Linked DNA regions of Neodiprion lecontei. The protein of the gene in region 2 purifies or fractionates together with the protein of the main gene of each other region. This does not show direct contact. Links are inferred from orthologs where the notes say so. Each region holds a gene or a part of one and is shown on either strand. Other genes may lie near its edges.

What was found.
Region 1: the proteins of protein l(2)37Cc (region 2) and stomatin-like protein 2, mitochondrial purify together in Homo sapiens (affinity purification with western blotting; 3 studies listed by BioGRID, with this or other methods). This does not show direct contact. The link is inferred for Neodiprion lecontei from reciprocal best matches to the Homo sapiens genes PHB1 and STOML2.

Annotation. Positions count from the first base shown.
Region 1 is NC_060266.1:26,734,916-26,739,608, reverse strand, and holds stomatin-like protein 2, mitochondrial, read left to right. Parts: upstream 1-1,820; 5' UTR 1,821-2,020; coding exon 2,021-2,068; intron 2,069-2,226; coding exon 2,227-2,325; intron 2,326-2,452; coding exon 2,453-2,600; intron 2,601-2,823; coding exon 2,824-3,072; intron 3,073-3,183; coding exon 3,184-3,339; intron 3,340-3,543; coding exon 3,544-3,788; intron 3,789-3,931; coding exon 3,932-4,114; 3' UTR 4,115-4,162; downstream 4,163-4,693. UniProt on the Homo sapiens protein: Mitochondrial protein that probably regulates the biogenesis and the activity of mitochondria.
Region 2 is NC_060261.1:13,957,686-13,963,157, forward strand, and holds protein l(2)37Cc, read right to left. Parts: upstream 3,844-5,472; 5' UTR 3,690-3,843; intron 3,629-3,689; exon of another isoform or gene 3,488-3,628; intron 3,262-3,487; 5' UTR 3,247-3,261; coding exon 3,159-3,246; intron 2,657-3,158; coding exon 2,235-2,656; intron 2,158-2,234; coding exon 1,849-2,157; 3' UTR 546-1,848; downstream 1-545.

The sequences.
Region 1 (4,693 bases), on a different chromosome or scaffold from region 2:
GAAGAAAGTCAGCCAGGGGTATCTTTTGAAGCAAGCGACAGAGTGCCGAGAGCGTGAAGGTAATAGCAGGACCCTGCATTAACTGATTCGCCAACGGTAGGTTTCTGTACAGGAAGCACCTCGCATCGTGCCTCGCTTAGTCGTGCCGACCTTCCCAGCTCGGTAACGTCCCATTTGTAATGACGCTGTCTTGAGCGATCTTCAGTCAACGCGGGGATTGTCTGACACAAAAACGTGTTCACTTGATTGAAAAAATCGTGAAAATTACAGGCATAGTCCACCTGCGAAAAAATTACCCCCGTAAGCATGCGTATATATTATGCATGTATACTTGACAGAAGTGTATCACGATGTATGATTCATTCCTTGTTATTTTTTTCCCTCTTTACGAAGAGCCAACTGCAGGGGAAACCGTGACGAAGTCTACGATCGAGGCAACTTGCGCAAATAGCATGCATCCAAGTTGAATGGAAAATATACGGGAACTGTAATCCCGCCAACAAATGCTATGGTGGTTCTTTCTTGCAGGAGACAGGTATTCGGACAAGGCGTAAACGATAGAGTACATTTCGGTGAGTACAATTTGAAACTTATATACTTTTGGAATTATCAATATCTTCTCCCGAAATCGATAAACTCATTCATTTTCATTCCATGATTTCGTTGAATCGAATGATCGGTACTGCACCGGAGACTTACGATGTCACCCCTGTTGAACGACCGTTTGAAGTGTGCCTACCATTTCAATCTCTGTTGGCATGATATGCGGTCGATTGACTTGATTTTTATTTGCCGAACACTGCATCACACCACACTGCAATCACCAGATTGTGAATTGGCAACGTGTGATATAGTGTTTCATTGTGACGGTTCGAACGCCGAAGTAAGCGAGTTTCATGCAGAACGTATTGTATGATGGACGGGCGTTTTACGCTGCTGATGACGTACGGATCACCAGGCAATTCTTTGTATAATTGACACCCGCACTGCAACTCTCATCTTTTTTAACGGTGTCATGCTGCATACCATCTTGTCTTACTCACCTTGACGGGAGAATGCGATTAATCCATTGTTTGCGAATCCTGGCTGCTCGTCGCTGTCACCGGAGCCACGTTGCCTACATACCATTGTATTACTCCCCCAGAGAAGGAGATCTGTCACCTTCCCCTACGGCTGTAAGACGTCGGAACGCAGTTTAAAAATGTACGCAATTCCTTACATCATTGATACAATATCGGACAACAATTTTACATGCGTACAACTTGAAGAAAACATCTCTTATTGTCAGATGAATCTGAGACTGGCAAGTCAACAGCCCAGTCAAGTATTACTCGTCGATTCGTCTGGTCCGGATAATTCCATTATTATTTTGTGTTGTCGCTCTTCATATTCCGTACTCCTTATTTTTTTGTTCTCTACTAATTCCTTTTGGATTCTTGGGTTGTAATTGTTATTTGCGTATTTTTACTGCTACGGCGATCCCATCGTATGCGAATACACCGTACAACATTGTGATAACCAAGCCTGTATGATAAAAAAAATTATTGAAGGTGCAACAATTGAGCAAGCTCACCAGGAGTTGGAATATTAGCACTCTTGTTGTTGTGCATAATTTCCATTTCGCTTATATCGCCTAGATATAACGCTAATACTGCTCTCATGTCATACCACTGTGTTAATGAAGATCGCATCTTGTATGCTCTAGCTATCGTGTTAAGTAGAGGTCGGACTCTGGTCTCCATGTGGAAACGGAACGCGGTATACAGTTAGTCGACTGCAGTCGACTGCGTGATGTGTGGCAGTTCTGCAAGTACATTTCGGAACACAGCCATGGTTCGAGTTGATGACAAACGTCAGTTTAGCCAACATCTAGGTTGCCCCATACATAACCTACACGGGTGTCGAGACCGAATGTAATGGTTGGGTTATCCCATTCTTATTTGAGTTTTGCAAACCAAAAACTAAGATCCCGATTGTGTGATTAATAAATCAGACGCGACATCAAAAAAAAAAAAAAATTATGCTTTCAACAACGAATTCACTCTTTCGGGGTATTAGCATAGCCAGAGTATGTAAACCCAATATAATTCTGACAATACTTTTATCGAAATTTAAATTCGTAGTCTGCATAAAAAAAAAAAAAAATAAATAAATCAAACTGATTGCGTTGGTGAATGTCTCAGAGAATTCTATTAACTTGGTTTAAATAATGTTTTTTTTTTGCAGGACACTGTGCGTATCCTTTCGATCAAACCGAAGATCCCGCATCGGTACAGTTCCTCGACTCCGATGAACACGATCGTCATGTTCGTCCCTCAACAAGAGGTTAGAACAATTGTTTCCGTCATCTTGCGCAATATGCGCATCGTATAGCAGTTATTGATAGAGGCATACAAGTAATGTCAGCAAATAAATATGTTCAGTTTTAATTGTATAGTATCATTTTCATTAGGCATGGATCGTAGAGAGGATGGGGAAATTTCACAGAATCTTGGAGCCAGGAGTTAATCTTCTGATTCCTGTAATAGACCGAGTGAAGTACGTGCAGAGTCTAAAAGAAATTGCAATCGATGTTCCCAAACAAAGCGCAATCACGCTAGGTAGTACTGATACGTTACTTTCAGCAGTTCCATAAAACAACAATCACACAGCTCGGTGATTTACCGCAACCTAGCAAACTGAAACAAGCCAGGAAATTCTGATCCACATGTAGAGTTGTTCGAACCTCGCCTCAACTGTAGCACCATACCTATCTGCTTATCATTTTAATGATTCTATCGCCAACTATTACTCAGTATTATCAAGTCATGAATAACTTTTCAGATAATGTCAACTTGAACATTGACGGCGTCTTGTATTTGAGAGTGAACGACCCGTATCTGGCATCTTACGGAGTTGAGGATCCTGAGTTTGCAATCGTTCAGCTGGGGCAAACAACAATGAGATCGGAACTAGGCAAAATATCGCTAGATAAAGTGTTCAGAGAAAGAGAGGGACTCAACGTTTCCATTGTAGAAAGTATAAACAAGGCCAGCGAAGCCTGGGGAATAACTTGCCTTCGTTATGAAATTCGTGAGTAAAGTTGTTTCTACCCGTCAGTCGCAGTAGCACCGACAGGTCGCATTTGAGGTCAACTTTTTTACCAACTATCTCAAATGCGACACACAATTAATTCTCTTTCAGGCGACATTAAACTACCAGTGAGAGTACAAGAAGCCATGCAAATGCAGGTAGAAGCAGAGAGAAAGAAAAGGGCTGCTATATTGGAATCTGAGGGTACGAGAGAAGCTGACATAAATGTTGCAGAGGGAAAACGTCAGGCCAGAATCCTCGCGTCTGGTAATTTTGAGTACCATGTTTTTTTTTTTTTTTCTCAAAAATTATTCCAACTGCTGCATACAAGTGTTGAGACATCCAATGATTTTTCATTCATTTACATCTTCATCTTTACCGAGTGAAGCAATACTTGTAGCTATTCAGGTTAATCTGGCTGTTGTAATAATCATTTCGTTCATGTTTCAAATACAAAATCCAAATGACCAGAGGCTGAGAAACAGGAACAAATCAACAAGGCGAACGGCGAAGCAGCGGCTATGTTAGCTGTCGCGGAGGCGAGAGCCAAAGGTTTACAGGTTGTTGCCGGATCTTTGGGTTTGGAAAATGGCAGAAATGCCGCATCGTTCAGCATCGCCGAGCAATACGTTCGTGCATTCAACAAACTAGCCAAAACTAACAACACTATGATCTTACCGAGCAACCCTGCCGATGTTCCCAACATTGTTGGACAGGTATGTACACTAAATTACGTTCGATCATCCAAGTTATTATTCAAGTGTTACGATGATTGCACTCGTCAAAGTTGACGATACATACTCTATTTTGACACATTTCAACTAGCATGAAATTAACCTACTCTTCTGGTACTATACAGGCGATGGCGATATACCAGCATATCGCACCCCGTCCACAAACACCGGACGATCCAGCACCGCAATTTAAGTCGAAAATCCCGCTCACCGTTGATACCCCGGATAACGCTTATGAATATTTTAGCGATAAAGAGGAGCTGGAGAAGCATAGAAATTCTACCAGTAAGAATTCGCAAATATTGTAAAAGTTTTCATTACAAAGTAAATAAATAAAAATTGAAAATGTAAAAATATCGAATAGTAGATCAAAAGCGATTGATTGGAAACCCTGAGAAAATTTTACAGACATAATAAGGGCAAACTGGATTAACATGAATAAGCTTGCACACTTCATTTCAAAAAGTGTGCATTTTAAGCGAACACGCTTGAACTTGTTTCAGAGACACTCTGTAGAAAAAATGTCAAAACTGGTGTGCAATCTTGTAGGAAGAATATTGAAAGTAATTCATCAATTTTCATCAATACTTTCAAGCCTAATTTCCGATCTTGAGATTAAAAGAGGCTCCTCGTTCATTTAAATGGATCGCTGAGCTTAATAATATTGGAGAAGTTGCATAGATCGCAAGATCCCAACTCCAATCAGGTGGATGAGAAATGAATTGAATGGCATTGCCTAGTGATGCTTCCGAGTAAAAATTCACTGGACGTGTAGGATGGTATTCAGTTACCTGTGACAAATCAGCCATCAAATTATGCGATATGCACGACCAGGCCACAGTTGGTTACAAAGAACCTGTATTATAAGGCTATTGTTAATACGTAAG
Region 2 (5,472 bases):
TCCCTAACTTCACGAATACCTATCTACATCGTTTTCCGGTCTTGAAATTCAATTAATTGGCATGATCCATTCGTACATAATTTACCATCCAAGTTGTTTCGTACGGTTACAGTACGGATATCCTTGCATTCATGCCCGATAATACTTACCTATATATTAGTATGTACATAAAAGTTTTGCTCTACACTTTAGACTCTGCTGAATTTCGTTCGATGCGTTAAATTCAAGAAGTCATTTTGCGGGCAGTGAGGCGAGAGACACCGCCGACGAAATTGTCAGTCTTGTTCACTGCTCAGTTCTCCGACGCAAGAATCAGATAAACGGTCGAATAGCTTTTGACTTTATCACGTTCTAACAGTCAAACCGACAAACGACAGTTTCGTTTCACTTTTAAGAATGCGTAGGGAAAAATAGAGATGACATTATAGATTTCACTAATTAATTTCTATTTTCCATGCTTGAACGATTTACCTTTGAATTTTCTTTAGTCTATGAATTAAAAAAAGTCACACGCAATGAAAGGAAAGGTGAAAAAAATATTCAAATTCGTGTTTCTACAAAACTATTAAATTGGTAAAATATTTCTATTACATAGAGCTGTAACATGGCAAATAAAAATAAAATATGCCACTTTTTTTTTATTAACATGACTAAGCTACGGTAACACGTGACCTCCTGAAGTCTAGACTTTGTATTTGTTTGATTTTTGTGGGTACGAGCAGGGAGGAGAATATAACAAGTAAACAAAACTGAAATCACGTCGAAATTCGAAGCATTTTGTTGTATGACATGCGTCATCAGAATTTACATTTCAATTTGAGATGCACATTTTTTGGTTTTCGTACACTCGATAGTCCCTAGAATTGATTACAGCACAATTTCGTGTTATTTTCAATTAAACATTCGGCTAGAATCATTACAATCAATTGTAACTCTGAACTTTTTTGTTTAAATGCAAATAGGTGTGTCCCTTGTAACAATGAATAATATCACATGTACAACGCATAAATTGCATCTGCAGTTCTAAATAAACTCAATACGTTAGTAGAAAAAAAAAACAATTTGACCATTCGAAATACTTTTCGGGGGTTTCCGTGCTTGTGAATGTTTTCTCGGCGAGAGGATGCAGGTAGGCTATTTCCATCAATCTGTTATATATTGTATCCGTAACTCACGTAGGGTAGTCAGCCTGAAATACATCTCAGGTTGCCTCAGATTATTGAAACAGTGAAATCTCTTTTCTCGCCACGGGTTTGATAAGTGATTTTAAACAAAAATTGCTTGTTAAAATTTCTTCGTTATTACCTCTCTTTGGTGATCCATCAAAACAATTTTAAGATTCTTCCGATTACGTACTTTTACAGTGATTCTGTGTGCGAATGGAAGAGAATCGGTTTACACCGTGGTGAGCGAAATTTGATTGCAGCAGAACATCTCAATTTAATCAAAGGCTTGCCAAGATCCAAGGAAAATGCTCTTCCCATTACGTGAAATCAGCGAAATAATATACGAAATTGCTAAATAGCCAGGCTGGAATCTCTACCTCGCGTATGAAAAACACAGTTAATATAGGAACACTTATAGCAATATTTATCGGTTATACTCAATGTACAGTAGCTGCGCGATACCCGGACCGATGAACGAAGGAATAGCACTGAACAATGTATTATCTCTACTCAATGCAATTGAAGCCGTAGTTGTTATCCCTTGTATTTGCAATGGTTAGTTTTTGTACGATAAATGATTTATGTACGTGTGATATTCTCTATTGTAATGATGTCAGTTTGTCGCGAGAATGTGTTATAAGAGACGATTTTCTCAAGTCTATGTACAGTTTTATTTATTGCATTACTGGGGGAGGTTGAGGAGGACATTTTGACCAACGGGAAGATATGAGACTTGGCGAGAACGTGACAGCTGGTACGCAATGTCTTCGGCGGCTTCGATTCTCCTAAGCTCAACCAGACCGTCGCCAGCTTCGCCGAACGCTTTGGCAAGCAGAAGTGCGGCCTGTGCGTCACCTTCCGCGCTTATGACGGCTGCCTTCTTCTGTTGTTCGGCTTTTTCTACGAGGAAACGCGCCTTCTCCGCGTCCTGCTGAGCGACCTGCTTCAACTCAACAGCTTGCGTGAACTCTTTGCCGAATGTCAAGTGTGTCTGAAAATAAAATCATTCAAATCAAAGTTCGACATTGGCGAAATCGGGTGATATACGCCACGCAGGGCGGTACTTACAATTGAAATATCGTCCAGAATTACTCCGAACTGAGCAGCACGTTCCGTCAAATCTTCGTTAACTTTCTGAGATACCATTTCACGTTGAGTGATTAATTCCCCAGCGTCAAATTGCGCTACCACAGCCTTCAACACTTCGGTAGTAATTGATGGCAGTACTCGTTCTTCATAATCAACTCCAAGAACAGTATAAATTTTCGGCAGAGATTCTGGTATCGGCCTGAACAATATACGCAACGTGATATTCACATTTTGCAAGTCCTTACTTCCGGTAATGACTGGGACGTTTCTTGGGCGTGATCTAATGTCAAACATGATAGGTCTCTGAACCCAGGGAATGAAAAAATGCGTCCCTTCACCCACTACTGTATTCTTTACCCCGGCAAATCTATCGAATATTACCGCTCTGTACCCTCCGTCAACTGAAACACACATTAAATCATTGTAACACTTTTTTCCTTGCAATTATTTTCTTCAACAAGGTTATCCCTGAATTAATCACGAAATGAGGAAACTTTTACATTGGATGGAGTGGTGATTAAATCAAAGCATCAAATAATATTTCGTTAACAGTATTTTAGAACACAATTATCATCTCAACCGATTTGGATTTACGAGGTTGTTATCTGGAGTTTATCTGTACATGATTTGAAAATGCTAACACATTTTACAGTGAGAGACTCAGAGGCATAAGCCAGAATAAAATTTAAGTTGAACTTCAAACATCGTTCATCTATTATTTCAATAAACCTTAAAATTACATTATAAATTCCAGCTATAGCATAATAATATTAGAACTACGCCTGTCAGAGTCGTATTTCATCGTGTCAAGTTTATTGAAAATATAATCATAGGTATTTTACTTGGTGCATTTGACAACTCAGCAAATAGAGTATTGTGGACAAATAACAAAATGCAACAAACCATTATAAAGGGCAGAATTGACTACACCACCAACAAGAGCCACTCCAAGGCCCACCTGGCCGATCCTGTTGAATAAATTTGCTGCCATATTTTCGTAGCGGACCTGGATATAAAAAAACTTTATTAATTTTTATACTTTTGGACTGAACGTTATAAGAAATTATTGATTTATCATTTGTGAGAGTAAAATCTGATGTAACAGTAGCTTTAATTTATGTGTACCAAGTCTAACCTAAAAAAAGTTACATCTCACAGCTCAAGTTTGGTACAAGGGATTTTCTCAGTCTTAATTCTATACGCCTGTAAGAAAATGAAGTGAAACACAATACCTTGGGACACTGAGAATCACCAAAAATATTACAAAATATGTGTAAACATTGGGAAGATAACTCGTCGCAATTAAGCCGACCGGGCTCTTTTTAACCGGACAATTCTCAAGAATACTCGTGTGTCCATTTTACGTAATGCAACAATAAGAATATTGTGAAAAACAATGATTAAAAGTTGCCTGCATAATAATGAATTACTTACGTAATTGACGGCGTTTTCCGAGTCTTTTTATCAGTTTTTCTCCTCGTGCCGCGATGCTGGTCGATAAAGGAAAATGGATTCCGGCAATACAGCCTGCTGAAAGAACGACGAGCCGGCACAGGCGTAGGCTGCAGGCCGCAAAGCGATACCCTGATACTGCATAACCTCTCACTCCTCTATTGGCTCCTTCCACTCAATTGACTTCGTGATTGGTCAATTCTCCTGTCTCAAAATGCTCGCGAAGTGGGGGTAGACATCGCGTGTATTTCACTTGCCGGCCCGATATTCCGCTCAGATCGTGGACTGATTTTCACGCATGCGTGTGGTTGCTCGCAATCGTGCATATTCATACGCCTGCGCGTAGGCAGCATGCCATTCGTTTCGTAGAGAGTATGTGCCTATAGTACGGCGTGATTTTTTCACGCCTGGGGTCAGGCAATGCGCGACTCGTTGCATTAAAATTATTAAAATTGCTCGATATGCACCAGGGAAGCAAACCTTACACAGGTGTAGAAAGCATAGAAGACATCGTGCAGGGTAATAAGGAGCGTTACTTGCACCAGCACTTACATGTTCTGTTGGATAGAGCATACTACTAAGTATGTGCGCTTGTTTATGCAATTTCGTATTGTCGAATTCAATGAAAACTCGTGATAGGTGTAGACGAAAGCCGGTAGCGCTCGAAGCCAGATCCCTATCTTAGCAACTGCGGAGGCAGCCAACCACGTTCGAAAATTAATTCTTTGCACCTCAAATTACAAAAAACAAATATTCTTGAACCATTTTCGAATGATATTTTTTGAAACTGTCTGGAAGTTACATAAGATGGTTTCCAGACTATAATTATTTTTTTGTTTTTCAAGAAGAATCACAACCTAGTAATTGAGTTCACCCAATTTATCACCAGGATTTGTTAACAATGAGAAATCTTTCCAACAGTCTAATAACAATTGTTCCATTGATTTGTTTCATGTGAAAATTGTTATAAGTTCACTCCACAATAAAATTTTCAGATAAATCAGAATTGACAGATAATTCATTTAACACGTGGTGTGGCTAACAAGAAAAAGTTATATTGAGTATTTAAATTTGCGGAGCTGTACAAACCTTTAAACGGATAACGGTTTTCGCGCGAATAACTCCAGCCTTTACCTGTAGATGTTGAGATACCTCCATAAAACGACAATTCATTACTAACTTTTAGTAAGCACAGCCGCTCTTAATCTCCAGCGCTTCTAAATGCCCAAATGAGTTTTTATGAAAAGTAATTGCAAATTATACGTCTACCTCGTAACATCATGACTAAAACTGATTTTCTTTTCTGGGCTGTTTATTACAGTACTTACGTCTCTACCCGAATACCTTCTGTATTTTATCGCCAAAATTTCAGTAAAAATTCATGTGAACCAGGGTCACTACGCACTGAAAAATACTCCAAAAGTAAACGCGCCCCCGGGTGGGCTCGAACCACCAACCTTTCGGTTAACAGCCGAACGCGCTAGCCGATTGCGCCACGGAGGCGGTTGGGGTGGGAAAAAAATGTATTCAAATCCAATGTAGTTGTGTTTTTCAGTATCTTTGGTGATAGCCTATATGAAAACAAAATTGACGAAATGAAAGAAAAATGATTTACTCCAAAATTTACGGTTTTTTTTTCTTCTTTTTTTTGCATTGAATCTTGGTGATTGAAAAAGGAGATTTCCAATCTTTTGAAATCAAATTTAATTACACTGTTCCATTACAATATGACAATTTCTTAAGTATTTCGAAGTGATGAAACCAA